Anolis sagrei: one gene and its partners. The protein of the gene in region 1 purifies or fractionates together with the protein of each later gene. This does not show direct contact. Links are inferred from orthologs where the notes say so. Each region holds a gene or a part of one and is shown on either strand. Other genes may lie near its edges.

The links. Proteins that work in one complex are often made in the same cells at the same time.
Region 2: the proteins of ANKRD28 (region 1) and PPP6R1 purify together in Homo sapiens (co-immunoprecipitation; 4 studies listed by BioGRID and IntAct, with this or other methods). This does not show direct contact. The link is inferred for Anolis sagrei from reciprocal best matches to the Homo sapiens genes ANKRD28 and PPP6R1.
Region 3: the proteins of ANKRD28 (region 1) and ARHGEF2 purify together in Homo sapiens (affinity purification with mass spectrometry; 3 studies listed by BioGRID and IntAct, with this or other methods). This does not show direct contact. The link is inferred for Anolis sagrei from reciprocal best matches to the Homo sapiens genes ANKRD28 and ARHGEF2.

Annotation. Positions count from the first base shown.
Region 1 is NC_090026.1:89,312,988-89,323,684, reverse strand, and holds the start of ANKRD28 (serine/threonine-protein phosphatase 6 regulatory ankyrin repeat subunit A), read right to left. Parts: upstream 4,636-10,697; 5' UTR 3,177-4,635; coding exon 3,060-3,176; intron 2,188-3,059; coding exon 2,104-2,187; intron 1-2,103. UniProt on the Homo sapiens protein: Regulatory subunit of protein phosphatase 6 (PP6) that may be involved in the recognition of phosphoprotein substrates. Involved in the PP6-mediated dephosphorylation of NFKBIE opposing its degradation in response to TNF-alpha.
Region 2 is NC_090026.1:20,851,194-20,861,924, forward strand, and holds the start of PPP6R1 (serine/threonine-protein phosphatase 6 regulatory subunit 1), read left to right. Parts: upstream 1-6,271; 5' UTR 6,272-6,465; intron 6,466-10,731. UniProt on the Homo sapiens protein: Regulatory subunit of protein phosphatase 6 (PP6). May function as a scaffolding PP6 subunit. Involved in the PP6-mediated dephosphorylation of NFKBIE opposing its degradation in response to TNF-alpha.
Region 3 is NC_090032.1:20,908,762-20,919,455, forward strand, and holds the start of ARHGEF2 (rho guanine nucleotide exchange factor 2), read right to left. Parts: upstream 4,461-10,694; 5' UTR 4,394-4,460; coding exon 4,251-4,393; intron 1-4,250. UniProt on the Homo sapiens protein: Activates Rho-GTPases by promoting the exchange of GDP for GTP.

The DNA of each region.
Region 1 (10,697 bases):
GTAAGACACTGATTAGTAATACAATCACTCCTCCACATTACTATGGTTAGGGGCACAGAACTCCGACAAAAGTAGAAAAACCATTTAAAAAAAAAAAGCACTATTTTTTTTAACCTGAGAGAACATCTCTCCAGGAATCTCCAGATTCTCCAGCACAACTCTATAGTCAACCTCTGGTGGAAAGTGATGACAGAACTGCACTGGATGACCTAGAAATGTCTAGACAAATAATCTCTCTAGGAATCATAGTGGAAATTCAAAGAGAATATATTAATAAACTCTACAAGTAGTCAAATTCACAAAAGTGGAACTGGAAAATGTGTGGTACTAACTATACATTTGTGAAATCTTGGATGGGGAGGGGAGAAAAACAGCCATCTACTTTCTATCTATTATTTGCCAAAGCAATATCCTGCACACATTTTCACAAGCCAGAACTACATTTAGTCGGATGTGACTAACTGGTTTATCATAATCTTCTAAAAAATCAATTTTCATGTTTGAGAGAGAAACACTAAGTTGATAATAAAGTGTTTATATTTAGAAAGGTCTCCTTTTTCTATGAGTTACTAATGCATTTGTTCTACAGACTGATGTTTATACAATGCCCCAAAACACTGTCTTTTAATATAATTGCACAACATGCATAATGGGTATGACTATAACATAGGCAGCAAAACGAAAATTTGCCTCTCCATAAGCTACATCAGCTGAGGCTACCCATCCAAAGTTGTCCATAGCCAACTTCATCCATTGTCCCATGTCAACATTCTGTAATTCCTTACTACTGTGTGAATGATATGAAGCAATTACAACTGAAATACAATAGAGTTATGAACTGCAAGTGAAACAAACAAATGCCAACTTTAACAAAAGAATAAACTATTATTTTACTAGAGCCACAGCACAACATCAGATGTCTGATATTCTTGAACAGACACAACAGTCAAAGAGCTGCATGAAAAATAACATATGCGCCTGGGGGCTTTTCCAGCTTCCCTTCTTACTGCAGCTCCTTGCATCTCCATATGCCAAGAGCTAGCCTTAAAGGTCAAGAGGCCCACTAGAACAGGATTTGACATGGCACAGAGGGATGCACCTGGAAGGGAAATATATAATACACACCCTGTACAGTCACAAAATTCTTTCCACTAATAAAATAGGATTCTGTGGCCCTTAAACCAAGGAATATTAATTTGGTCAAACAATTAAGCATGTATATGTGCATATTTTTAATTCAATTCCACCAGTTTCATTTCCTCTGATTTCCCTGGATTTTTTTGAAGTTCACTTCTAATGAAACACATGGGCCTAACCCATTTTCAAAGCTGCAGCCAACAACGCAAACTTACTTGCCTACTCCATCTTAACAAATGTACATTTTTTAAAACCTGCTACTTAAGACAACATTCCCTCATTTTGTTTTCCGAAATGGTTTCCCTGACAAATTCAGAATAATACCTGGTTAAACTCACACACTAAATATTTGGTTAGTAGTTAAAATCATATGTCTTTGACATTTCCAGACTAAGCCTATAATCTAAATATATTTTCCTGAAACTCCCACTAAACAAAATGAGGCCTATGTCTGAGTAGACTTGTAGACCAATAAATATTAACTGATCAAGACTACCACGCTGTCAAAAATAATTGCATGGATATGGCTGTAATGATGCATAGAATTTAGCTTTATGAAAGAATACTGGGAGTTTTCTTAGTGGCCATAAGACTGACAACATCAATATTTGAACTGTTCCTTCCTCCCACAGAAAGCACCTTGTCTTTATTAAATGGGTAATATGGACATGACTGAAATGTTACCACTGATGTACGCATTACAAATAGGTACATATTGATTAAAGCCATAAAGTGAAACCATATTTGGAATAGCAACTTTCTGGAACTACAATATGTCCAGAATGATTAAATTTCTTTAAAAAAATTGAAGAATTTTTGCAACAATTTTAGCAAGATCAAAAGAAGCATTTCCTTTGGTTATTTTAGAAACAAAAATATTACAAAGATTCCAAAGAATCACAAATGAGAGCTTTAATGTAACAAAATTACATTACATTTGTATATAACTGTATAATCTCTTTTTACCTGAAAGTTGACATCTTCCTTCTTAAAAATCAGTGCACGAACCTCATCAGGGTCCCCATTAAATATAGCTTGAACTAGTGGGGGCTGAAATATAAAACCAAAAGGAATGTTTTAATTTCAAAATAAGTGTTGTAGTTGTTGTTATATCGGGCATTAAAACCCGAACAGCTCAAAAATGGTATCACAAATAAAATTTGTCAAATACATCTTTATAAAATAGGTTTCTGCTTAAACAGTTGCAGCAATTTCCTAGATAAAATAAAAAGAAACATTTTATGAAGAGGTAATGCTGCATATTGCCACAGGGGGAAAGTATCTGACATTAGTGGGTTACATTTTGAAGAATGCATAATGATTACTTTCAAAGAAACAACATATAAAACTGTTTAGTCAGTTTTTTTAATCATATAAAACAGCAAGAAAAATCAGAACATCTGAATAGATGGAGGAAATATGTCCTTATATCTAAAAATACCTCCATATGCTAACCCCTCCCCCTGCCCAATTCCACAAGGGAACAATCCAATTTTAATAAATGCCAAAAAAAGGTTTACCAAAAACAATCAAGGTGAAATAGCAGCCCTGCATCACATGAGCTATGTTCTTCTACTGAATTTTAAGAACAAAACACTTTATTACAGAGTATATTACATGAATTCATAAAACAAGCCAAAGATCATAGGAATCAATTTATATCCAGCAGCAGGTAGGAGACATGCTGTTTTGATACTGTAGTTTTTGAAAACAATGGCCAGAAAATAGAATATTTTTAAAAAAATCTAAAAATATGTGTCATTCATCAGGATTGCAGTTAGACCCAGGAGAACACTACTTTATGTTCACTATTTAAGCATAATATTAGGTACACTTTCTATATTCACATATATTTATGGTAAAAATCATTTGAGCTTTAAATCACAATTACAAATAGGGCATATTTAACAGAAGCTTCTTACCAAGCCATGTGCTGGAGGTGAAGGGTGTAGAGATATGCTTTCCTGAGGCAGTTTGGAAACAAATGTGGGAGAATCATCTTCCACCTCCTCCAAAACAACAATACATACGCGACTCATTCGATCCGTTTGAAGATGAAAACTAGATTTGTAAGGGTCTTATTCTAATCACAGCTAACACCACATAGAAAGTCTTTTTAAACATAATTTGTGATAACTATTGCTGTTCTGAAATCTTTAAGTGATATAATTAAATGACCTCTTATTTGCCAGATTCTGTAACCTGAGTTATTCAGCTAATGAGGTTTTCCCAAAAAATCTATAAAATAATTCTATTACTTTATAGCACTCAAGTACTAAAATACTGTTTGCTCAACCAATATTAAAGTATAAATTACAATAGTATATATAAATATGCTGATGCTTGTTACCAAGCCAGCTGATTCTGTTAAATTTCTACAGAATAGAATTTCTGAACAGTAAAATCATTGTTATAGACAACATAACACCATTCTATACAGAATGAAACAAGAAGACAATTGCTCTGGCAGAGATGATCACAGCTTTCTCCACTTCCGAAAGGTCAGTTCCCAGTTAACAGTAGCAGGTATTCTACCATAAAAGGCATACATGACTGTCCCAAGTGTTCCAGTTCATAATTCTGTAACTAACAATTTTATTTCTCTTACTGTCAGAAATTCACCAGAGAAATGCAATCTGTTCTCAGCAGCTATTCAGAATTATAGAGCTCCAATGATGACATTTCTTCTCTTTGTACAAATCCCTGCAATGTATGTACCACTAAGCTGCAGTACATTTACATGTGATGAGTCAGACAACAAAGGACAATGAGACTTGGATAATAATATTGCTTGTTTGATCCAGATTCCCCAGCAGACCGCAACAAAGACTGCTTTACTCCATCCATCAAAAAAGAAATGCAGAATATTTGTTTTCCACCATCACGTCGTTGCGTGAGCTGATCCAACAGGGAACGCACAAGGCATAAATGCTGGCAATGACGAAAGCTTTAGCAAAATACTAAAGCACAAGCACTTGAATTATTGCTTTAGACTTTTCATTCAGAAGTAGTTCATCATTTGAATGCTTCTTTTGATCTCAGTATGAATAGAGCTCCCATTATAGCCTTCCTTCAGACCGATGTAAAAAAAAAAAGAGGAGGTAAAAAGGAAATTCAGGTTCCACACATCGTCTTTCAGCCAACTTCTTTATTTGAAGATCTGCATCTATGTCAGCCCGCTGGTTCTTCAAGTTAAATGTTCTCTTAATCCAAATACTGTCACCAATAAAAGATTTTCTGTGCGGTAGATGCTACTGCAAACCATATAAAAATCTAGTGCCTTAAAAAGTAATTGCAGATCACGTCAACAGGGCACAAAATAGCACCGCAGCAGTGTTCCAACAGAGCAATAGTCTTTATAGCACAGACTGCAGACCCGCAGGATGAAATGCCTAGTAATGCTCACATGTTACACTTCGCAAAGAACCGAAGCTACTGCTCTGGATGTAACTTCCTGTAGAGGGGGAGGGGGAAAGCCGCTTTTGGGTAGCCCTCAGAGAATATCCATGCCAGTTTCGTATGACTAATTCAATTCAAATGTAGAAATTCTTTTCAGCCTTTTACATTTTCCATTGAAAACCACAAGAAAACTTGTGTACTGGCACTGCTGACTAACAGTGTAGGAAAATAACAATTCCAAATCCTTAAGTACTTTCATATGGTACTGTCTTTTCAGAACTGCCTCACTTAACCCTCTACAGTCATGAAGCTTTACTGATGACAGTAAACTAAGCATCAAAGGATTTAAAGAGACAGTACCCTAAAACCAATGGATACCTATTTCTCAAAATAATTACTGCTGCTGTGCAAGAAGCATTAACAAACACAAAAATGTGTTTTATGGAGAAAAAGTCTTCCAATAAGTTGAATTTACAGCTTTTATTTCAATCTAACAAGGAGCAAAAGTGATTTGTGATTTTATTATTTATGTTTTCAAAACACTGGAAATGTTATTGATTCAAAACTGAATAGCCTAGTACATCCACTGAATTTATTTTGAGTTACAAAACAAAATTACAAACAGCATTCAAAACTTAGTAAAAAAAAAAACCCTTAGCAGAATTTCAAAGCATAAAAGAAAAAAAAAATTAGAAATGGAGGACTGCAAGGACCTTGTCAATTGTTTTGGATATTAGGATACAGTATTGCAGATTATGTATCAACATTTCAGCTATCGGTACTTCTTACTAACCTAACCCTGATTTTTCTAAATTCTTCATTTAAAAATAACCAAAATATATTGTAACATTTACATTTCAGAAGGAATTCCATATTAAAAAATAAGTGATACAGATGTACTAATCTTATGATTTTTAATGTTAGAAACCATATTCTAACATTTATAGCCCTCACTTGTTTTCTTGTAATTTAATGTCACTTATTTCAGTGAAACTAAAATAATGCACTGAATATTGGGCCCTAGTTGCATTAAGTCTGTAATCTTATTCATACTTAATTGGGAACAAGACACACTGAACATAGAGGCTCAATTCACAATGAAGTTTTTTTGTTTTTTGTTTTATTAAGACAACCATGTGGCTCCCATGCACTTCACTCAATTCACTCCTTCATATACACATTTAATACTTCAAACCTCACCTATTTAAACCAGTTTTTTATTACATTTAAAGAGGAGTAGAATTTTGAACCAGGATCAAAACATGGCTCCTGAGCCTGGTTAATAAACTAATATTAAGTCAGAGCTCCCTGTTTCAGATATAATGGAACTGAAACTCCCAAGCCTACACATATAGGAAGATTCCCCCCCAAAAGGGGGGGGGGGGTCAAAGGCATAATTGAAGGGCATCCAGACCACCTCCTCAAAAAATAACAAGTTGTTAACAGCTATGGAGATTCTGCTGCTTCCAATTTTTTTTGGATGATGGTGAAGTGGTAATATAGCAGACTTCTGTTTCTTCTGCCTCTACAGGTGGTTGCTTAAGGTGGCTGAGGAGTCAGCCACAACCATCTTTTTTGTCTGTGACCATATATAGAGAGCTGCATGGATCTGAACCCTGAGCCTTGCTGTGGCACAAAAGGGCAAATTTGCCACCCAATCACCCGAGGTAACTAGGAGTCCCCGGTGGTGCAGTGGGTTCGAATCCGGGGAGAGGCGGATGAGCTCCCTCTATCAGCTCCAGCTCCTCATGCGGGAACATGAGAGAAGCCTCTCACAAGGATGATAAAAAGATCAAAAATCATCTGAGCATCCCCTGCGCAACGTTCTTGCACAGCCAATTCTCTCACACCAGAAGCAACTTGTAGTTCCTCAAGTCGCTCCTGACACGACAAAAACAAAAAACAAAACAAAAACAAACAAACCCTGAGGTAACTGGGACTCATGGCAGAGCAGGCCCTGCCTAGAGGGAAGAGGTTAAAGAAAAAAAAGGGGGGGGGTCAAAAGCACATTCAGAAGAAGCCTTATACTCTATGAATATTCAATGATAAATTGAATCTGTTTGTGCTAAAGGTGTGCCAAGGCCAGTGTAGCTTTACTATGAGAGACAAAACTCGTATATAAAGCTTATTGGTTAGCACTGATCAGTTCTTACTTTAACCTATCACACAGGGTTGTTGTGAGGATAAAAAGGGGAAAGTAGACTCATATACACTAGGTTCCATTCTCTGAAAGTACGTTGTAAAATGAATGTACAAATTAGACATTTATCTTAGTTTCATACCTTGCTTAAGAAATTTCTTTTAAAAATGTTTTGCCAGTAGCACGATGTCTTCTAAACATGATGTTTTAGATAGCTATCAGAATGAATTGTAAATGAAAGCACTTCTAATTTTGAATCTTGCTTTGGAAAGATTTCAAATACAGAAATGTCAGTTTAAAATGCCTCATAACTCAATTACATATATATTAAATGCTTTGTCAAAAGTGTATTCTGCATTCTAATAAAATTTTAAAAACAGATATTGCTCATGGGGTCTGATTCAAACTTACCATATCTGAGAAGAATATCTCTAAAGAAAAGCAGGATCATATATACCTGGCCATTTAAGCTGATACTGTTGCTACCCACCCATATAAACATATAAATAGATGACAGACTATGCTCATACGTCACATGGAAATTACCATATGGACTTAATTCTATACATTTGAAGGTGGAAAAACCAATAAAACTAACGACAGCAGCTGTTAGCCAATTGTAGCTATCATAGAATTTGACAAGATCATGTCTGCTTTCCGTATGCATGGGAGAGCTTATTTTTGGCACCCTCTTCTGCCCCAAGCTGTCTCTTCCACTCCTTCTCATCTACTTTTCTTAAAGATCCTGTTTCTAAAACTACAAGCTCTTTTAGTCCATTCATACCCATCAACATTGCTTCTTAAATCAACTATCTCCTGGGAGATTTTCTCAGATGTATTAGTTCTTAACAACTAAGAAGCCTAAAGGATCACAGGCAGCAAAAAATGTACTTAATTAGTATGTACCAAGGCATAAAACATGTAACATCAATGTGCAATATACATTTGTCTCTGAATGGCACTGTAGGTTTCCTTGGAGACAGCTGGGATTTAGAGAAATGCTACTACCACCCACACAAGAGGACCTCACAGTTTCTCCATCCTTCTGGCATCACCTCCCTATTCCACCCCCCCCCCCACCCACACACAAGAAAGGAAAAAATTCTAATATCAAGGCATTTGTACTTCATCACAAGCAATCAATCACAAATCACAATAATCTGTAATACTGAACTCCCTCTTTCCTATAGGTTTAAAATTTTGACCATTGAAAATGAAATTTCCAGTCAACACCCTTTAATTACAAATTGAGAAGGAAATTATAAGAAATACATTATTCTTAGACGATATGGTAAAATGGATACCAAAGAGACAAACTATTGTTGAAAAATGTTATATGGATTTTGGAAAAGGGGAAATCTACTTTCAAATGTACAAGAACAACAATACAACTAAACTGGATCTTAATCACAATTACTCAGAAGAAAGTTCCACATAACTGTATACTATTTACTTCCTATTTATTAAATGTAGGATAACATAAAATGAAATAAAGTAAGTCACAAATATTTGTTATGTGAATTCTTGCGAATAATTTTACATTAACAGAATAGTGAATGGGACAGAACATTAAACACATGGAAACCAAAAGCAGCTAACAAACCCAACTTGACAGCAATATTTTGCAGTCATACATGTAACAATACTAACTTCTCATATCAGGTGCAAAAATGGTACAAAACAAGAATTTAATCCAACAAAATCCTTTGTTGGGATTTCACAAAAAGAAGGTCAACTTCCCTCAATGTGTTGCACAGGACCACAATTAGCTTGTTTTTCTCACGGGCTAATTGACCCATGACAAAAACAGGTCAATTAGCCATGTGTAAGCTATATACTATTTCCTAAATGAAGGTAATATCTCAATAGAAAGTTCCTCATATGTGATCTATCATAGGCAGATTTTTTAAAAATTAATATAGTTCATACTTCATTAGAGGGGTATGTTAAACAATTTTGAAACTCTGTAATGTACAAATATGAACATCTAACACTACTTTATACTTTCTTGTAGAGAAAAAAAAAGATAAGAATTACAGAATAATTTGTATGCTAGTACTATAAGAAAATCAGCACTGCAAGTACAAATACCGCAGCAATCACAGAGCTTCTGAAGAAATTTAAAAGTAAGGAATGACTGCACTGTGTTCTCACATGACTGTTGTATTGCTAAGTCTATAACTCAGGGGTAGGAAAAATGTTACAAGTAGGTAGATATTGTATTAATTTCCCAGATTGTTTTAAAGAGTTCTTACTCTGTGACCCAGCTATACTATATTATCTGCTGGTTTGCAGTGTGCAGGTCTCTGAAAGAAGCTTCAGAATTCAAACACATTATATTTTATATTAGATCATAGAGCCAAGATGAAAAGTTAGTTATAAAATCATCTTGCTAAAATGTGAAACTACTTCTTATGTGGACTTGACATGTACTTGTATCACTATATAATCCACAACTCTTTGATAAACATGAAATCTAATGCAGCAGGACAATTAGAGGTCACAGTAGCTGGTCATACTGAAATGTTAAATAGTATAAAAAAGAGGCATGTCACATTTAATTTTGACGTATCATTCTACCCAAAGTGGTAACATAGACCGTCCATAAGTGCTATTCTATACATCTCTGGGTTCTTAATTTCACAAATAATGAATACATTAAACCAGGGGTCCTCAAATTAAGGCCCTACAAGGTCATTTACCATGCCCCCACCCTAAACTTAGGATCTCCTAAATCTGAAACAACTTCAAGGCACACAACAACTTGAAGGCACACAACAACAGCAATCCTACTTAACTTGACTTTCTCATCAGCCAAAAGCAGGCCCAGGTTTCCCATTGAAATACTGGTAACTTTATGCTGGTTAAAATTGTTTTGCATTTTAAATATTGTTTTATTCCTTCATGGGTTTTTTGCACTACAAATAAGAAAGTGAAATGCATAGGAATTTGTTCATATTTTTTTCAAACAATAGTCTGGCCCCACAACAGTCTGAGGGACCGTGACATGGTCCTCTGTTTAAAATGTTCGAGGATCCCCACATTAAACAAATAATACAACAATCTCATATATTATGTCAATGAAGTTGTCTGAAAGAATGTTGGAATAATAAAAAATCAACACTAGATTCTAGAAAGTCACAAAGATGTGTCCAGAATTCATGTGACAAGTATGACAGTCATCATATATTTGTAATTTCAAAAGGATGCATGGGGGAAAACACTGATGTAGGAAACTGAATATAAAGCACAAGAAACATGCAGATCTTCCTATTCCGAACTTGTTGATATCTCCATTAAACAGAAACACAGAAATGCTGAACCAGTCAAACAACCATCATGTCAGACAACACAGAGAAACCATTGAGATCCACAAGCATGTGGAGAATTTCAACAGAAAGGAGAAAATGGTGAAAATGAATAAAATCTGGCTACCAGTATTTAAAAAACCCTCTAAAATCAGGGTAGTAAATAAAGAGGAATAAAAAAAAATAGGGGAATTTCTGACATGAAACAATCAGGGACAGCTAGCACTTCCCAACAAAGGATTCCCTGAAGCAGGAAGTAGCCAGGCTTTGAAGCTGCAAGACCACTCAGTGCTAATCAAGGTAGCCAATTGCAACATTCACATTTGCCTCAAGCAGACAAGAGTTCCACAGATATATAAACCTCACTTGCCTAGTTTCCAACAGATCTCATAAACTCTGACTATGCCTACCATAGCTGTGGGTAAAATGTCAGGAGAGAATGCTTCTGGAACATGGTCATACAGCCTGGAAAACTCACAGAACCCAGTGATTCCAGCCTTGAAAGCCTTCAACAACACATAGAAACACATAATAGTTTCAATTTCTCTCTCTTTCTAATTAGAACAAGGTTCTCCTTATAAAACAGTAGCTGAGTACTTAATAGTCTAGAATTTCAAATATCTTGTTAAGGCCTGTTAATTATGACTACAACATGTTTATTGCATTTCTTACACTACAAACAACATGGGACAATTATTGAGGAGGGGGGTCTG
Region 2 (10,731 bases), about 68 Mb from region 1:
AAAGTCTGGCACATCTTTGTTTTTCCCACCAGCAGATTTTTGTTTTTACAAAACTGACATTACTCTCACCTTGACCAGTAGAACAAAACATAACAAAAGAGGTATGTTCCAAAATTAGGGGCAAGTACTGAAACCACCTCCCTGAGAAATATATTCAATCTAAGGCAGCCATGGGCAATCTTTGGCCCTCCAGGTGTTTTGGACTTTAACTCCCACAATTCCCAACAGCCTAATGGCTGTTGGGAATTGTGGGAGTTGAAGTCCAAAACACCTGGAGGTCCAAAGTTTGCCCATGCCTGATTTAAGGCATCACCTACATTGCTTTATTGCCTCTTCCTGGTTGCGATAGGTAAAAAGAGCTGATGTAATGTAATGGTTTGAGAGTTGCACTATGACTCTGAAGACCAGAGTTCGAATCCTTGCCCAGCCATGGAAAACCTCTGGGTAGCCTTGGGCAAGTGACATACTCTCAGCCTCAGAGGATGGCAAAAAACCGCTCTGAACAAATTGTGTCAAGAAAACCCCACAATAGGTTCACATAAGTTGGAAGCAAATTGGAGGCACACAGAACGGTAACTGAAGTGTTGGAAAGGTGATGAGAATCTCTTTTATTAAACGTAGGATGGGCCATCATCATTTCCAAAAGGACTTTCAGCATAATAAATTTTGGCCCTTCACCATTTCTCTAATGACTTTAAACATAACAGATTTTATACGTGCTAGATCCTGGACCATGTAAAAGTATGAACAAGAGGAGAAGAGCAACTAGAAACCAAAGGGTGTGTCTAGTAGATTCCTTTCATTAGAAAGGGTAGGCAATGCACTCTCTTATTACGAAACTTTCCTTTTCAAATTAGGTTTGATATACAGCTGGGGTAGGCACTGCTGTTGTTTCTGTCCCAGAAATGCCATCCTCCCTAAATTGTGTAGAACCTGTTGGGTGATTTATTCTCAATCCAGATGAACAAATATGAGCTATTTATTTATAATTATCCGCCTTCTACCTCCCTGCCCAAGGACTCAAGTTGGTTTGGCCTTTTATACTGGTTTATGATCTATTATATTTTATGGATTCGGGGTCCTTCTACACAGCCGTATAACCCAGAGTATCAAGCCAAATAATTCACAACTGGGATACCTGAGGGCTCCTCCACACCCCCTATATCCCAGTATCTGATCCCACTGCCAGATAATCTGGAATGAACAGAAAACCTGGGATCAGATCCTAGGATATAGGACCTGTCTGGAAGGGCCCTGAGTCACACTGCATATAACCCAGTTCAAAAGCAGATGTGGGATTTTATTCAGCGGTGTGGAAGGGGCCTAAAATAACCCAGGACCCTTCCATGCAGCAATCCGGAGTATCGAGGCAGAATAACCCACAATATCTGTTTTGAACTGGAATATCTGAGTCCACACTGCCACATATCCCAGTTCAAAACAGATATTGTGGGTTATCTGCCTTTATATTCTGGGTTATATGGCAGAAGGGGCCTAATTTTAATTGAAGCCACATTAGCCTTATGGTGAATCCATTGACAAAGAATCTGCACAGAAGGCCCTCCATCTATCTATTTATCTAACTACCTATCTATTACATATAGCCTAAGGGCCTCATCACACTAGAGAAAAAATCCGCTTAAAATCTGGTTTCTGCCTCCTGCAGAATTCTAGGGTTTGTAGTTTAGGGAGGAGCCTCGTCAACTCTCAACCAATTCAACATAGTTGGTATTTATTTATCGTGTCAGGGGCAACCAGACTATTGTATTACATTTTTAATAGAACAAAACAAACAAACAGGTTAAAAAAACCCACAAAGTTTGCAAACTTGGTAGTTGATTAAATGTCCTTTGACCAGGTTGCAACAGCAAGAACAAACTACAGAACAACTAACTGTTTCAAGATTGGGAAAGGAATATGGCAGGGCTGTATACTCTCACCCAACCTATTCAACTTGTATGCAGAACGCATCATGCAACATGCAGGGCTTGACAAATCCAAGGATGGAAGTTAAAATTGCTGGGTGAATATTAACAACCTTAGATATGCAGATGATACCACTTTAATGGCTGAAAGCGAGGCGAAGCCGAACTCCTCCTCGCTTTCTAATCAAGGTGAAAGAATAAAGTGCAAAAGCTGGGTTGCAGTTAAACATAAAATAACCCAAGATGATGGCAATTAGATTGATTTGACAACTGTAAAACAGGGAGTAAATGTGGAGGCAGTGGCAGACTATATTTCTAGGTGCAAAGATTACTGCAGACGCAGACTGCAGCCAGGAAATCAGAAGACGTTTACTTCTTGGGAGGAGAGCAATGTCCAATCTCGATAAAATAGTGAAGAGTAGAGACATCACACTGACAACGAAGATCTGCATAGTCAAAGCAATGGTATTCCATGTAGTAACCTATGGATGTGAGAGCTGGACCATAGGGAAGGCTGAGTAAAGGACAATAGAGGCTTTTGAACTGTGGTGCTGGAGGAAAGTCCTGAGAGTGCCTAGGACCGTGAGAAGATCAAACGAGTCCACCCTCCAGGAAATAATGCCCGGCTGCTCACTGGAGGGAAGGATATTAGAGGCAAAGTTGAAGTACTTTGGCCACATAATGAGAAGACAAGAAAGCTTGGAGAAGATAATGATGCTGAGGAAAATGAGAGGAAAAAGGATGACAGGCCACCAAGGGTAAGATGGATGGATGGTATCCTTGAAGTGACTGGCTTTACTTTGAAGGAACTGGGGGTGGCCACAGCCAACAGGGAGCTTTGGTATGGGCTGGGAGGAGACATGATTGTTGTTTGTTCAGTCGTTTCTGACTCTTTGTGACCTCATGGACCAGCCCACGCCAGAGCTCCCTGTCAGCCGTCACCACCCCCAAATTCTTCAAGGTCAGTCCAGTCACTTCAAGGATGCCATCTATCCATCTTGCCCTTGGTCTGTCACTGTCACATTTTCTCCCTCTATTTCCCAGTTGTTAATCATTCTTGTTGCTATAATCTTGTTTTTTTTTTTAAATGTTTAGCTGCAACCCAGCTTTTGCATTTTCTTCTTTCACCTTGATTAAAAGGCTCCTCAGTTCCTCCTCGCTTTTGACCATCAAAGTGGTGTCATCTGCATATCTAAGGTTGTTAATGTTTCTTCCAGCAATTTTAATCCCAGCCTTGCATTCGTCAAGCCCCGCACATCGCATGATGTGTTCTGCATACAAGTTGAATAGGTTGGAGGAGAGTATACAACCCTGCCATACACCTTTCCCAATCTTGAACCAGTCTGTTGTTCCATGGTCAGTTCTTACTGTTGCTAATTGGTCCTTATACATGATAAAGGTAAAGGTTGTCCCCTGACATTAAGTCCAGTCGTGTCCGACTCTGGACTTGCCCAATCTTGAACCAGTCTGTTGTTCCATGGTCAGTTCTTACTGTTGCTAATTGGTCCTTATACATGATAAAGGTAAAGGTAAAGGTTGTCCCCTGACATTAAGTCCAGTCGTGTCCGACTCTGGGGTGTGGTGCTCATCTCCATTTCTAAGCCGAAGAGCCAACGTCGTCCGTAGACACCTCCAAGGTCATGTGGCCAGCATGACTGCATGGAGCGCTGTTACCTTCCCGCCGGGGCGGTACCTATTGATCTACTCACATTTGCATGTTTTCGAACTGCTAGGTTGGCAGAAGCTGGGGCTGACAGCGGAAGCTTACACCGCTCCCCGGATTCGAACCTGCAACCTTTCGGTCAACAAGTTTAGCAGCTCAGTGCTTTAACCCACTGCGCCACCGGGGCTCCGGTGATACATGATAGCCATGTATAAATAAGTGAGAGCAAGTCATAGGAAGGAGGGAGCAAACTTGTTTTCTGCTTCCCTGGAGACTAGGACGCAGAACAATGGCTTCAAAGTACCGAAAAGAGATTCCACCTGAACATTAGGAAGAACTTCCTAACTGTGAGAGCTGTTCAGAAATGGAACTCTCTGCCCCAGAGTGTGGAGGAGGCTCCTTCTTGGGAGGCTTTTAAGCAGAGGCTGGATGGCCATCTGTCGGGGTGCTTTGAATGCAATTTTCCTGCTTCTTAGCAGGGGGTTGGACTGGATGGCCCATGAGGTCTCTTCCAACTCTATGATTCTCTATGAAGTCATGAAGAGCCAGAAATTATTGAACAAATACACAATGGCTGTGTGGAAGGGCCTACATTTCAACAAGCAATAATACTCTGAGACTATCCTGAGTGATTTGAACTACAACTTTTCTAAATGTGAAACCAAGAGGAGCTGCATTGGATTTTATGGGGCTTTGTGATTGATAAAGGCTACAGAGCTAGAAGACACACTGTTACAGCGCTATTTTTCTACTTTATCTGCAGGATAACTGATAGTTCCCTCCTAATGAATTCAACCTGCTTTGAATCCAGGGAAAGTACGCAAGCAAGCGCTCAAAATCCACCTAAAAATGAGCTAGGCCAAGAAGATAGGCCCAGCGCATGCGCAACAGATTTTCTTAGTCCCTCCATCGGCGGGAAGAAGGAAAGACGAGAAGGAATTCGACGCATGCGCAGATGCTCTCCCTAGTCTTTACTTCAATTCCCAGAATTCCTAAAATTTGGTCCTGCTGGCTGGTGGTACTCTTGGAAACTGGAGTTCAATGTCCTGTAGAACCACTGGCCTTTGGGGGAAAAGGAGGAGAAGGATGAACCAAGGAGAAGCCAAGCGAGAATTCTGAAAATGGAGAGAGGGAGCCCGACGCATGCGCAACTAATTCCCCTAAGTCGGAGGGAGGCTGATTCCCGTCGGACTCCCATTCCTAAGCCTCCCTCATTCCTGACTTAGAGGAATTCGTTGCGCATGCGCCGGACTTCCAGTCCTCTACCAGGAGTCCGACGCATGCGCAACTAATTCCCTAAATCAGAAATGAGGCTGAGGAAAGGGAGTCTGACGCATGCGCAGCTAATTCCCCTAAGTCAGGAATGAGGGAGTCTGAGGAAAGGGAGTCCGACGCATGCGCAGCTAATTCCCCTAAATCAGGAATGAGGGAGTCTGAGGAAAGGGAGTCTGAGGAAAGGGAGTCTGACGCATGCGCAGCTAATTCCCCTAAGTCAGGATATATTTTTTGTCGTGTCAGGAGCGACCTGAGAAACTGCAAGTCGCTTCTGGTGTGAGAGAATTGGCCGTCCACAAGGACCTTGCCCTGGGGACGCCTGGATTGATTTGATGTTTTTATCATCCTTGTGGGAGGCTTCTCTCATGTCCCCGCATGAGGAGCTGGAGCTGATAGAGGGAGCTCATCCGCCTCTCCCCGGATTCGAACCTGCGACCTGTCAGTCTTCAGTCCTGCCGGCACAGGGGCTTAACCCACTGCGCCACCGGGGGGGGGGGGGGCTCCGACGCATGCGCAGCTAATTCCCCCAAATCAGAAATGAGGCTGAGGAAAGGGAGTCCGACGCATGCGCAGCTAATTCCCCGAAGTCAGGAATGTGGGAGGATGAGGAAAGGGAATTTGACGCATGCGCAGCTAATTCCTCGAAGTCAGGAAGGAGGGAGGCTGAGGAATGGGAGTCTGACGCATGCGCAGCTAATTCCCCTAAGTCAGGAATGACAAGAGGCTGAGGAAAGGGAGTCCTCCCCTAAATCAGGAATAAGGGATGCTGAAGAAAGGGAGTCTCACGCATGCGCAGTTAATTCCCCTAAGTCGGGAATGAGGGAGGCTGAGGAAAGGGAGTCCGACGCATGCGCAGGTAATTCCCCTAAATCAGGAATGAGGGATGTTGAAGAATGGGAGTCCGACGCATGCGCAGCTAATTCCCCTAAGTTAGGAATGAGGTAGGCTGAGGAAAGGGAGTCCGGCGCATGCGCAACTGGTCTCCCTCTTCTTTTAGGGAGTCATATGTCCAAAACAGATTGTTAGGAATTGTGACAGTTGAAGTCCGAAACACCAGGAGGGGCGAGGTTTGCCCATGCCTGGTCTAGGGTAACTCCCAGGTATTTTGGCGGGTGGGCTTAAATACAGAAAATGGAAGGTGAAGAGAGTAAGCCCGCGCATGCGCAACTCATCCCCGTTCGTCCCTCAATCGGCGGGGGTGAGGGAATCCGAATGACGCATGCGCAGTTTGCGCTTCCTACTCTTTTTACTACATTTCCCAGATATCTCAACCCTTTGCCTCAGCGCTTTGGTCTTCTGGGAGTTGAAGTCTTAAAGGTTGGGAGCCAATCGCATTGGAGAAAGGGGGAGGAGGAGGGGGCGGGGCCAAGCCTGAGGGGAAAGAAGCGCGAAGAGGAGGAGGAGGAGGAAACGGCGAGTCGGCCGCTGGGAGGCGCGCGCGCGCGGGGGATTGTGGGATCGCGGCGGTGAAGGGAGGAAAAAAAAAAGTGGAGCGCGAGCCAGCGAAAGAGCCGCCCCCCTCCCTCCCTCCTTCTTCCTTCCTTCCTTCGCAAGAGAAGAAGAAGAAGAAGACTGGGGCAGGACGAAGGGGGCTCGAGCCCGGTGAGAGAGAGAGAGAGAAAGAGGGGGAAAGGGGCTGGCGGTGGAGGGGAAGGGAAGGGGGGAAGGAGAGAGAGGGAGGGAAGGCCTGCGCCTCTCAGGGACTGAGGGGAGCTGTGTGTGTGTGACAAGGAAGGGAGCTGCCGCCATTTTGGAGCTCCCTCTGGGAGACCCTCCCCCGGAATAGCGCCCCCTCCCCCACAGGCGTGATCTTTGCCCTTTCCTTCCTTCCTTCCTTCTCCTCATCCTTCCTGTCCAGGCCCAGCTCTTTGGCCTGTGGGTAGCCCTTCCTTCTTCCATGCCTTCATCTTTTATATATGGTTGTAATCCCCAAGTTACCAAAAAGATAGGCTTTGTAGCTTTGCTCTGAAGTTAAATTTGGATGCAAGTCGGAACAGGTACATTTTAAAAGTGTCACTCCTGCCAAATATATAATAATGATAATGATAACTGGGTGCCGTGCCAAAAGATCTCAGCCGGCATTTAGAAACAATAAACATTGACAAAATCACGATCTGTCAATTGCAAAAGGCCACCTTACTTGGATCTAATATATAATAATAATAATAATAATAATAATAATTGGGATCTCGGCCAGCATTTGGAAACAATAAACATTGACAAAATCACGATCTGTCAATTGCAAAAGGCCACCTTACTTGGATCTAATATAATAATAATAATAATAATAATAATAACTGGGATCTCAGCCGGCATTTGGAAACAATAAACATTGACAAAATCACGATCTGTCAATTGCAAAAGGCCACCTTACTTGGATCTAATATATAATAATAATAATAATAATAATAATAGCTGGGTGCCGTGCCAAAAGATCTCAGCCGGCATTTGGAAACAATAAACATTGACAAAATCACGATCTGTCAATTGCAAAAGGCCACCTTACTTGGATCTAATATATAATAATAATAATAATAGCTGGGTGCCATGCCAAAAGATCTCAGCCGGCATTTGTAAACAATAAACATTGACAAAATCACGATCTGTCAATTGCAAAAGGCCACCTTACTTGGATCTGCACGCATCATTTGAAAATACATAATAATAATAATAATAATAATAATAATAATAAAACTTTGTTTATATACTGCTCTATCTCCCCGAGGGGACTCGGAGCAGCTCCCAGGTAACATCTCAAAACATACAAAGTAAAACGACATAACCATAAGATTAACAAAACAATATAAGCATTAAAACATCACACAGTCCTAGACACTTGGGAAGTGTTCGACTTGTGATTTTGTGATATGAAATCCAGCATATAGATCTCGTTTACTGTGACATACTGTGATGTCAGTAAAATATTATTATTATTATTAATAATAGAAAACTGGAAAAAGCTGACCTGATATGAGGATTTAAAGATCGAACTGCAAAGACTCTGGCACAAGGTGGTCCCAGTGGTGATTGGCACACTGGGTGCAGTGCCTAAAGACCTTGACCTGCACTTAAACACAATTGGCGCTGACAAAATTACCATCTGTCAGCTACAAAAGGCCACCTTACTGGGATCTGCATGCATTATTCACCGATACATCACACAGTCCTAGACACTTGGGAAGTGTCCAACATGTGATCCAATACAACAGCCAGCAGATGTCTGCTGTGGACTCATCATGTTGTGTTACAAATAATAATAATAATAATAATAATAAGGTAAAACAATAAATGTAATAATAATAATAATAACAACAACAGAGTAAAATAATTAATAACTGACTTGAGTATAAGTCACCGATACATCACACAGTCCTAGACACTTGGGAAGTGTCTGACGTGTGATCCAATACAACAGCCAGCAGAGTGATCTTGTTTGCTGTGGACTCGTCTTGTTGTGTTTCAAATAATAATAATAATAATAATAATAATTAATGTTTGGCAAAAGTATGATAGCTGGGACCCAATGCCGAGAAAGCGCAGCAAGTGAGAGATGCAGGTACGACAGTCGTGGCAACATAGTTCACCAGAAAAGGGGGGGGGGGGTCAGTAAACAGCCAAGCATAGTGCTTAAGGCTATATAGACATCGTATGCAAACACGTTCAAATGCTTAACATCTTCGCTTCTCTAAGTCTGACCTGCATCGCGCAAACAGCATTGGGTCCCAGCTATCATACTTTTGCCATGTTTGTTTATATCCCGCTTTTTCTCACCATGCAGAGACTCAAAGCGGCTCACAATACCACTTCAAATATATAAATAGTAAAACAGTATTAAACATTATGTTGTCAAAGGCTTTCGTGGCAAGAATCATTGGGTTGCTGTGAGTTTGAGAAGCCCTATACGCTTTGGGTTCAACCTATCTTTGTGACAGCATCTCTTTCTATGAACCAGCACTGGCTCTGAGATTGACATGGGAGGACCTTCTCTTGGTCTCACCTTCATCTCAAGCATGGTTAGTGGGGATAAGAGAGAGGGCCTTCCCTGTGGTGGCCCCCTGGCTCTGGAATACCCTCCCAAAAGAGATTAGATTAGCCCTCCTCTTCAGTCCTTCCATTCCAGTCTGAATAGGCCCATATGAAGCTGACCCATGGCACCTTGTGAATTGACACAATTTCCCATATGAATATGATGCTATGGTATTGCAAGTTAAAAACAAAATAAAACAAAGGAGTTATTAAATATCAAAAGACACTTGTTGACTTTTGATATTTATATCAGGCATGGGCAAACATTGGGCATCCAAGTGTTTTGTACTTCTGGCTGTTAGGAATTCTGAGATTTGAAGTGCAAAACACCTGGAGGGCCCATGCCTTATATATACATGTATACATACATACATGTATACACATACAGGTTTCTCCAAAAGTTGCCATACATAGGGAAAATGGAAAATTGTAGCTACATTTATTAACAAAATAATATTAATTACAAAATATTACAAAACCCTTCCAATATTTTATATATATATATATACTATTAAGAATATGTAATATAATGTAAAATATAATCTGAGTTTGTTACTTTTTCCTATGTACTGAGATTTTGGGGATAATCCATATATATTATATGTGAAACAGGCACATAGACAGTAAGAAAAATAAAATAATGCACTGCAAACTACATTACAATACTATATAAAAAGACATTGTCTTGTATTTCTCAGCCTAGTGCAAGCTGTCAGGTGTGTTTTTCTATAAAAGTGTTTTAAACTCCCCTTTAAATGTAAGTGGGCAGCTTTGCTAAGTGGAATGTCAAAACTGGTTGGAGAGCATGGGGGCACTTGCTCACTAACTAGAAAGGCAGAGGAGTTGACAGAATCAAATTTTAAAAATTATGCAGATTACAGGAAAAGATCAGTTTGATCAGAACTGAAGTGTTATTGGCCGAACAGTTCACAAGCCTAGTGCTTTAAAAAAAATAAAGCGAGTCACTGCCTTCTGTTCTCTCAAACACATAAGGTTTTTGTGGCATCATAATATGCTTAATTAAAAGGATACTCTAATTTAACACATTTCCTTATAAAGTATGTATTTTAATGTGCTTCTTCACACACTGCTGTACATTTTTGTTCAGTTTGATTAGCTGACAAAATAATATCCTTTTATATGCAGGGCCTTGAATGTTAGCTTCTCAGGTTCTGAATGTTTGCTGCCCAATATCTAATTCCTTCCAATTCCTTCCCGTTCTAATTCTTTCCACACCCCAGAAGAACCATTCTTTTATCTTATACCTACTGAATCACCCACTGATATTTATTCTGTTGCTTCTTATGTTGTGCAGAATAATTGCTACCTTAGTTAGTGATGTTCTCAAAAAAGTGACCTGGCTTAGAGTTCAAATATGCATTTAAAGTGCAGGTGAAAACATCTCGTCTTATTATATAACACTTTTTACCTGCCCTTTTGTACACAACAGGAAGGTTAAAGTGTGTTAATGGATAAACTGACCTCTGATTGACTGAGTACACATGGACCACTAATATTTCGCTGCTGACTTTGTTTAACCCAAAGATCTTAGCTTTCTTTTCACAGGTGTGTCCCCAAAAGACCTGATCCCTCAGTCATTTCCCCCCTTGCATCCCCAATTATGTGGTTATTATGTTCACTGATGGCTCCCATATTTTCTGCAGTGTATCCGTTTTGTACCATAACCTTTCCCCTAAGTGGCAGATACCTGACTAATATTGAATTCAGCTTCACCAAATTCCGTGTGTGGTTCGTAATCGCCAAGGCTATGTTTGGTGAGCCTGAGAACGATGTTCCTCATCTTGCTTGTGGATAGAAGCTGGTTGTTGTCCTCTGGTTCTG
Region 3 (10,694 bases), on another chromosome or scaffold:
CTTTGGAGAGCTTCTGCAGAACCATTTCAAATCTCCTTGTTTGAGCGTTGATGGCATGATCGTCAGCGTATATTAAACTCTCTGACCCTTCTAGTCATTTGTGTCAATGTTAAACATGGATGAAGCAAGCTGGTTTTCCCTGTAATAGGCAGTAAGAGCACCTAAAGCTTTGGAGAGCTTCTGTTCCACCATTTCTAAGCTCCCTGCTTGAGCGTTGATGGCATGATCGTCGGCGTATATGAAACTCTCTGTCCCTTCTAGTCATTTGTGTCAATGTTAAACATGGATGGAGCAAGTTGGTTTCCCCTGTAATAGGCAGTAAGAGCACCTAAAGCTTCGGAGAGCTTCTGTTCCGCCATTTATTTCAAAGCTCTCTGCTTGAGCGTTGATGGTATGATCGTCAGCATATATTAAACTCTCTGTCCCTTCTAAGTCATTTGTATAAATATTAAACAAGCTGGTTTTCCCTGTAATAGGCAGTAAGACCAACTAAAGCTTCAGAGAGCTTCTGTTGAACCATTTCAAAGCTCCCTGATTGAGCGTTGATGGCATGATCGTCAGCGTATATTAAACTCTCTGTCCCTTCTGGTCATTTGTGTCAATGTTTAACATGGATGGAGCAAGCTGGTTTTCCCTGTAATAGGCAGTAAGAGCACCTAAAGCTTTGGAGAGCTTCTGTTGAACCATTTCAAAGCTCCCTGTTTGGGCAGTGATGGCACTGTCGTCAGCATATATGAAAACTCTCTGTCCCTTCTGGCAGTGGTTGGTCATTTGTGTCAATGTTAAACACGAGGAACTGTATTAAGAGGCATTAGGAAAATTGAGAAACACTGACCTAAAGCTTTGGAGAGCTTCTGTTCAGCCATTTCAAAGCTCCCTGCTTGAGCAGTGATGGCGGCGTCATCAGCATAGATGAAAACTCTCTATCCCTTCTGGCAGTGGCTGGTCATTTGTGTACATGTTAAACACGAGGAATGGTATTAAGAGGCATTGGGAAGGTTGAGAAACATTGACTAAAAGCTTCGGAGAGCTTCTCTTCAGCCATTTCAAAACTCCCTGTTTGAGCGGTGATGACACCGTCATCTGCATATATGGAACTCTCTGTCCCTTCTGGCAGTGGCTGGTCATTTGTGTAAACGTTAAACATGAGGAACTGTATTAAGAGCCATTAGGAAGGTTGAGAAACACTGATCTAAAGCTTTGGAGAGCTTCTGTTGAACCATTACAAAGGTCTCTGCTTGAGCGTTGATGGCACTGTCATCAGCATAGATGAAACTCTGTGTGTCTTCTGGCAGTGGCTGGTCATTTGTGTCAATGTTAAACATGAGGAACTGTATTAAGAGGCATTAGGAAGATTGAGAAACACTGACCTAAAGCTTTGGGGAGCTTCTGTTCAGCCATTACAAAGCTCTCAGCTTGGGTGGTGATGGCAAGATCGTCAGCATATATTAAACTCTCTGTCCCTTCTGGCAGTGGCTGGTCATTTGTGTACATGTTAAACACGAGGAACGGTATTAAGAGGCATTGGAAAGGTTGAGAAACATTGACTAAAAGCTTCGGAGAGCTTCTCTTCAGCCATTACAAAGCTCTCTGCTTGAGCGGTGATGGCGGCGTCATCAGCATAGATGAAAACTCTCTGTCCCTTCTGGCAGTGGCTGGTCATTTGTGTAGATCATAAACGTTGATGGAGCAAGCACGCTCCCCTAAAGCAGGCAGTTCTTCTGTTTTCGCCATCTGCGATGGAACTCAACGATGGATGGAACTCAACAAAAAAGCTCCTGTTTTGTAGCAGATTTCCTATGATTCCCTTTGTGATACTATAAGTTTTTCTCAGGAGGAGGCAATGATTTATAGTATCACAAGTAGCTGGCAAGTCTATGAAGACAGCGCCTGTCATTGTATTTAATTATAAATATATATTGTATCTAATGCAGCCTGTACATAATTGCAATTTCTTAAAAAATCTATATAATTCTATGGATACAGAAGGATAACTGTATCCACTACGCTGTTTTATATGTATTTGTTGTCGCTCTAATAGAGAGAAGCTCTATTAGAGCGCTACACCGCTGGAGAAATTATACAGTTTAGCTGACTCCAGGAGGTTCCGGGTTTGAGCCTGCCACTTTTGGACTCTTGCTTGCTGAGGTGCAAGCAAGAGTCCAAAAGCGGCAGCCTGAAACTCGGAAGCTCAATCAGTCGCTGAGACCAGATGAGAGACTCCCTCCTGGGCACATTGAAGACGAGGTGACTTGGAAGGCGCTGAATAGACTGCGCTCTGGGAGAGGATGGACCGTGGATGATGGGATTTGTAGTACCTTCACCCGGTTCACTTCCCACAGAACACGGTGGCCCCCACAAATCACAGGTTGGCACACAGAGCCCCCATGACCCACTCAACATCTCGGTGCAGTCTGGAGAAGGATGGAACATGGACGATGGGACTTGCAGTTCCTTCACTCACTTCCTGAGACCGCTGCGACCCTCACCAATGACGGACCAAGACCAAACTTGGCACACAGACCCCTCACGACCAACTCTACATCCTGGTGTGGTTTGGAGGACAATGGAACATGGATGATGGGACTTGCAGTTCCTTCACTCACTTCCTGCGACCACTGCGACCCTCACTAATGACGGACCAAGACCAAACTTGGCACACAGGACCCTCCATGACCAACTGTACATCATGGTGCGGTTTCAAGGACAATGGAACATGGATGATGGGACTTCCAGTTCCATCACTCACTTCCTGCGACCACTGCGACTCTCACCAATGACGGACCAAGACCAAACTTGGCACACAGACCTCTCATGTCCAACTCTACATCCAGGTGTGGTTTGGAGGACGATCGAACATGGACGATGGGACTTGCAGTACCTTCACTCACTTCCTGCGACCGCTGTGACCCTCAGCAATGACTGACCAAGACCAAACTTGGCACACAGACCCCCCCATGTCCAACTCTACATCCAGATGTGGTTTGAAGGACGATGGAACATGGATGATGGGACTTGCAGTTCCTTCACTCACTTCCTGCGACCACTGCGACCCTCACCAATGACCGATAAAGACCAAACTTGGCACACAGAGGCCCATGAACTGCAACCCTAATCCAATGACCGATAAAGACCAAACTTGGCACACAGACCCCTCCATGACCAACTCTACATCCTGGTGCGGTTTGGAGAACGATGGAACATGGACGATGGGACTTGCAGTACCTTCATTCACTTTCTGAGACCACTGCGACCCTCACGAATGACTGACCAAGACCAAACTTGGCACACAGACCCCCCCCCCATGTCCAACTCTACATCCAGATGTGGTTTGGAGGATGATAGAACATGGACGACGGGACTTGCAGTACTTTCACTCACTTCCTGCGATCGCTGCGACCCTCACCAATGACGGACCAAGACCAAACTTGGCACACAGACCCCTCATGTCCAACTCTACATCCAGATGTGGCTTGGAGGACGATGGACTATGGACGATGGGACTTACAGTACCTTCACTCACTTCCTGCGACCACTGCGACCCTCACCAATGACTGACCAAGACCAAACTTGGCACACAGACCCCTCATGTCCAACTCTACATCCAGAGGTGGTTTGAAGGACGATGGAACATGGACGATGGGACTTGCAGTACCTTCACTCACTTCCTGAGACTGCTGCAACCCTCACCAATGACTGATCAAGAACAGACCCCTCCATGACCAACTCTACATCCTGGTGTGTTTTGGAGAATGATGGAACATGGACGATGGGACTTGCAGTACCTTCACTCACTTCCTGCGACCGCTGTGACCCTCAGCAATGACTGACCAAGACCAAACTTGGCACACAGAGCCCCCATGACCAACTCTACATCCTGGTGCGGTTTGGAGAACGATGGAACATGGACGATGGGACTTGCAGTTCCTTCACTCACTTACTGCGATCGCTGCAACCCTCACCAATGACTGCACTCTACACCGCTGGAGAAATTATACAGTTTAGCTGACTCCAAGAGATTCCGGGTTTGAGCCTGCCACTTTTGGACTCTTGCTTGCTGAGGTGCCCACTCAACATCTTGGTGCAGTCTGGAGAAGGATGGAACATGGACAATGGGACTTGGTCCCTTCACTCACTTCCTGAGACCACTGCGACCCTCACCAATGACAGACCAAGACCAAACTTGGCACACATGTCCAAGTCTACCTGTCCTGCCCTACCACAACCACATCCATGTTGCAATGATTTACCTTCTCTGATTGAATTCTGGGTCGTCGTCATCCTCGTCCAGCACTTTGCCCGGTTCCCAGCTGTGCCGTCGGAAAGCGTCGTAGGGGGTGGCGCAGCCCCTCAAGCGCATTGGCACCCCCAAAAACTGCACATCGTCCCCCATCTCCTCTTCTGGCTCCACGGCGCATGGCTCCACCGCAGAGAGGCTGCGCTGCTTCAGGACCAGCGGGGAGACCGGGACTCCACTCATTCCTCGCGGAGCATCCGAAGGCTGGAAAGAGAAGAAGGGGAAATCAATGGGTGCACTAGGTCTCCCAGCACAGCTAATGCCTAGCAAGGTTTGCTGTTTAGGGATCTCTAGTTCTGGGTTGTTGTGAGTTTTTCAGGCTGTATGGCCATGCTCCTGATGCATTCTCTCCTGACGTTTCGCCTGCATCTGTGGCTGGCATATGCAGAGCTTTCGTTGGCTGTGAAGCAAGTGGAGTGTGCATCGACCTCTGACGAAATGCATCTAGATCCTCCAGCACAAATAAATATGAATATATAAATAAAAATATAAAAATATATAAAAATAAAAAATATAAAATATATAAAAATATAAAATATAAATAAATAAATATAAAATATGGAAATATAGAAACATAGAAATGTAAATGTAAAAAAAGAAAAATAAAGAATAGAAAAATAGAATAAAAGAAAAATATAAATAATATATAAATATATAAATATATATAAATATATAAATAAAAATAGAAAAATAGAAAAATATAAATAAAATAGAAAAATAGAAAATAGAAAATATAAATATAAAAAAATTAAAAAAAAGAAATATATAAATAAAAATAGAAAATAGAAAATATAAATATAAAAAAATTAAAAAAAAGAAATATATAAATAAAAATAGAAAATAGAAAAATATAAATAAATATATAAAAATATTATATATCTAAACTAAAAATATATAAATATAAAAAATAAAAATAAAAATATAAAAATAGGAAAATATAATTAAAATATAAAAATATAAATATATAAATAAAAATAGAAAAATAGAAATAAATATATAAAAATATAATATATAAATAAATATATTTATAAAATACCTATATATACATATATATATACATATACATATACATATATATATATATATATATATATAGAAAAATAGAAAAATAGAAATAAATATATAAAATGTATAATACAAATAAATATATATATAAAAATATAAAAAATATAACAATAAAAACAGAAAAAATAGAATAATATAATAAAAAATAAATATATATAAATATATATAAATAAAAATATGAAAATAGAAAAATATAAATAAATGTATAAAATATAATATATATAATAGAAAAATATAAATAGAAAAAATATAAATAGAAAATAGAAAAATAGAAAAACAGAAAAAACAGAAAAAATTATAAATAAAATTTTAAAATATAAATAAAAATATTTATATATAAATATATAAATAAATATAAAAATATAAATATATAAATAAATATATATATAAATAAAAATATAAAAATACAAAAATATAAAAGTTATATATATATATATATAAATAGAAAATAGAAAAATAGAAAAAACAGAAAAAATAGAAAAAATTATAAATAAAATTTTAAAATATGAATAAAAATATTTATATATGAATATATAAATAAAATAAAAATATAAAAATATAAAATATAAATAAATATATATAAAAATAAAAATATAAAAATACAAAAAATATAAAAATAATATATATATAAATATAAAAAGAAAAATAGAAAAATAGAAAAAATAGAAAAAATTATAAATAAAATTTAAAAATATAAATAAATGTATTTATATATAAATATATAAATAAAAATATAAAAATACAAAAAATATAAAAATTATATATATATATATATATATATATATATATATATATAAACAAAAATATAAATATATACAAAACAATAAACAATAAATAAATAAATATAAATATATATAAAAATAAACATAAATATCACCACACATATCACTATTAAAATTTCTGCCCCTCGGGCAACCGAGGTTGTCCTAACAACATAACACTAAACAACTCCAAGTCCATAGGGTTTGGAATAAATCTGGAGTGAGACCCATTCAAATCCCGGTCTCCTTGATTCCGGGTCCAATCCTTGCCTTGCCCAGCTTGGTTCACCTGCTCTTCGCTCTCGTCTCTTCTGCAAGCCTTCCTTGCTTCTCTTTCCAAAAGATAGGAAAGGGAAGCGCTGGCGTGACTTTGCTCCTATCCTGTTTGGGTTTTCCACCACTCACTCCTCCCAATGTTCCCTTTGGTGCTTTCCTCCTTTCTCTCCGCTTATCTTTTGCAGAATCAGCACAGCCAACTTTCCAAAGGGAGAGAAGAACCAATGGAGCCCGGCCAGGCAGACAGGATACTCACTGGGAATATGCTCATAATAAAGCAGCTCCACTGTGCTCTCTTTGATTGTAGGTGAACTATAAATCCCAGCAACTACAACTCCCAAATGTCAAGGTCTATTTCCCCCAAACTCCACCAGTGTTCACATTTGGGCATATTGAGTATTCATGCCAAGTTTGGTCCAGATCCATCATTGTTTGAGTCCACAGTGCTCTCTGGATGTAGGTGAACTACAACTCCCAAACTCAAGGTCAATGCCCACCAAACCCTCCCAGTATTTTCTGTTCGTCGTGGGAATTCTGTGTGCCAAGTTTGGTTCAATTCCATCGTTGGTGGAGTTCAGAATGCTCCTTGATTGTAGGTAAACTAGAAATCCCAGCAACTACAACTCCCAAATGACAAGGTCTATTTTCTCCAAACTCCACCAGTGTTCACATTTGGGAATATTGAGTGTCCATGCCAAGTTTGGTCCAGATCCATCATTGTTTGAGTCCACAGTGCTCTCTGGATGTAAGTGAACTACAACTCCAAAACTCAAGGTCAATGCCCATCAAACCCATCTAGTGTTTCCTCTTGGTCATAGGAGTTCTGTCTGCCAAGTTTGGTTCAATTCCATTATCAGTGGAGTTCAGAATGCTCTTTGATTGTAGGTGAACTATAAATCCCAGCAAGTACAACTCCCAAATGTCAAGGTCTATTTTCTCCAAACTCCACCAGTGTTCACATTTGGGCATATTGAGTGTCCGAGCCATGTTTGGTCCAGATCCGTCACTGTTTGAGTCTCTGGATGTAGGTGAACTACAACTCCCAAACCCAAGGTCAATGCCTACCAAACTCTCCCAGTATTGTCTGCTGGTGATGAGAGTTTTGTGTGCCAAGTTTGGTTCAATTCCATTGTTGGTGGAGTTCAGAATGCTCTTTGATTCTAGGTGAACTATAAATCCCAGCAACTACAACTCCCAAATGTCAAGGTCTAATTGCCCCAAACTCCACCAGTGTTCACATTTGGGCATATTGAGTATCCTTGCCAAGTCTGGTCCAGATCCATCATTGTTTGAGTCCACAGTGTTCTCTGGATGTAGGTGAACTACAACTCCCAAACTCAAGGTCTCGTAGCCCCAAACTCCACCACATTTGGGCATATTGAGTATCCGTGCCAAGAATGAAAATACATCCTGCATATCTGATATTTACATGATGATTCAGAACAGGAGCAAAATGACAGGAGTTTTTTGGGGGTGAACTTGGCATAATGGGAGTTGTAGTTCACCCACAAACCCTTATGTACTTGGTACAATTAATATACTAACTTTTTTTTTCAAATAGCCTGGGCAACTCCGGGTAACCAAAGTAGTAAACAAATAGAGTGACCTTATAAAACTACAACTCTCCTGACCTTATAAAACTACAACTCTCAGGATTGATTCAAAAATAGAGCGAGAGAGAGAGAGGAAACAATCTGGGATGAGGTCAGGCTCGGAGAAGAGGAATGATCTCAGATTTGGGAGGAAACGCTTCTATGGGAACCTTGGGAAAGTGTACACAACAGCGCAAAGCCCGGTCCCACCCAGCCGAGGAAGGGAACGCGGGCAAAGGTGACCCGAACCGGCCGCCAAGCCTGGGAAATTGTAGTTTTGCAAGGTCTTCGGCCAAACGACAACTCCCAGGATGCCAGAGCATGGAACCAGTGGGGTCAAATCCAGCAAAAGCAATAGAAAATAGCAATAAAGATGAATGATAACAACATTTCTCCCCGTTTCCAAGATTTCAATGCCCGTACTTGCCAAACTACAACTCCCAGGATCCCAAAGCATCGCTTGACGTGCCATGGCTCAATGCTTGGAGACCGTCCTCACCAAACTACAACTCCCAGGATCCCAAAGCATTGAGCTGTGGCACGTCAAGTGATGCTTTGGGATCCTGGGAGTTGTAGTTTGGCAAGTACGGTCTCAAAGGCTGTACTTGCCTGTACTTGTTAAACTACAACTCCCAGGATCCCAAAGCATCACTTGATGTGCCACGGCTCAATGCTTTGAGACCGTACTCACCAAACTACAACTCCCAGGATCCCAAAGCATCGCTTGATGATACTTTGAGACTATACTTGCCAAACTGCAAATCCCAGGATCCCAAAGCATCACTTGACAGGCCATGGCTCAATGCTTTGAGACCGTACTCGCCAAACTACAATTCCCAGGATCCCAAAGCATCGCTTGGCGTGCCACTGCTCAATGCTTTGAGACCGTACTTGCCAAACTATAACTCCCAGGATCCCAAAGCATCGCTTGATGATGTTTTGAGACCGTACTCGCCAAACTACAATTCCCAGGATCCCAAAGCATTGAGCCGTGGCACATCAAGCAATACTTTGCGATCCTAGGAGTTGTTGCTTGTACTTGCCAAACTGCAACTCCCAGGATTCCAAAGCATCGCTTGACATGCCACGGCTCAATGCTTTGAGACCGTACTCACCAAATTACAACTCCCAGGATCCCAAAGAATTGCTTGACATGCTAGGGGTCAATGCTTTGAGACTGTACTCGCCACACTACAACTCCCAGGATCCCAAAGCATCGCTTGATGGTGCTTTGAGACCGTACTCGCCAAACTGCAACTCCCAGGATCCCAAAGCATCACTTGACAGGCCACGGCTCAATGCTTTGAGGCCATGCTCGCCAAACTACAACTCCCAGGATCCCAAAGCATCACTTGACGTGCCACGGCTCAATGCTTTGGGATCTTGGGAGTTGTAGTTTGGCAAGTACGGTCTCCAAGCATTGAGCCATGGCACGTCAAGCGATGCTTTGGGATCCTGGGAGTTGTAGTTTGGCAAGTATGGGCATTGACAGGCCATGGTTCAATGCTTTGAGACCATACTCACCAAACTACAACTCCCAGGATCCCAAAGCATCACTTGATATGCCACGGCTCAATGCCTTGAGACTGTACTCACCAAACTGCAACTGCCAGGATCCCAAAGCATCGCTTGATATGCCATGGCTCAATGCTTTGAGACTGTACTCACCAAACTACAACTCCCAGGATCCCAAAGCATCACTTGACGTGCCACGGCTCAATGCTTTGGGATCTTGGGAGTTGTAGTTTGGCGAGTACGGTCTCCAAGCATTGAGCCGTGGCACGTCAAGCGATGCTTTGGGATCCTGGGAGTTGTAGTTTGGCAAAGTACGGGCATTGACGGGCCATGGTTCAATGCTTTGAGACCGTACTCGCCAAACTACAACTCCCAGGATCCCAAAGCATCACTTGATGTGCCACGGCTCATTGCTTTGAGACTGTACTCACCAAACTACAACTCCTAGGATCCCAAAGCATCACTTGATATGCCACGGCTCAATGCTTTGAGACCGTACTTTCCAAACTACAACTCCCAGGATCCCAAAGCATCACTTGACAGGCAATGGTTCAATGCTTTGAGACCGTACTCGCCAAACTACAACTCCCAAGATCCCAAAGCATTGCTTGATGATGCTTTGAAACTGTACTCACCAGACTACAACTCCCAGGATTCCAAAGCATCACTTGACAGGCAATGGTTCAATGCTTTGAGACTGTACTCACCAAACTACAACTCCCAGGATCCCAAAGCACCACTTGACAGGCTATGGCTCAATGCTTTGAGACCGCACTTGCCAAACTACAACTCCCAGGATCCCAAAGCATCACTTGATGTGCCACGGCTCATTGCTTTGAGACTGTACTCACCAAACTACAACTCCCAGGATCCCAAAGCATCACTTGACGTGCCACTGCTCAATGCTTTGAGACTGTACCCGCCAAACTACAACTCTCAGGATCCCAACCACTTGACAGGCTATGGCTCAATGCTTTAAGACTGTATGTGCCAAACTACAACTCCCAGGACCCCAAAGCACCATTTGACAGGCTATGGCTCAATGTTTTGAGACCGTACTTGCCAAACTACAACTCCCAGGATCCTAAAACATTGCACCAAGGTAGTACAAATGTTGCCAAGCTTCGACACACCTCCCGTCTTGCAAATAAGGAAAGCAAAAAGTTAAAAAAGGGGGAGTCATAAAAC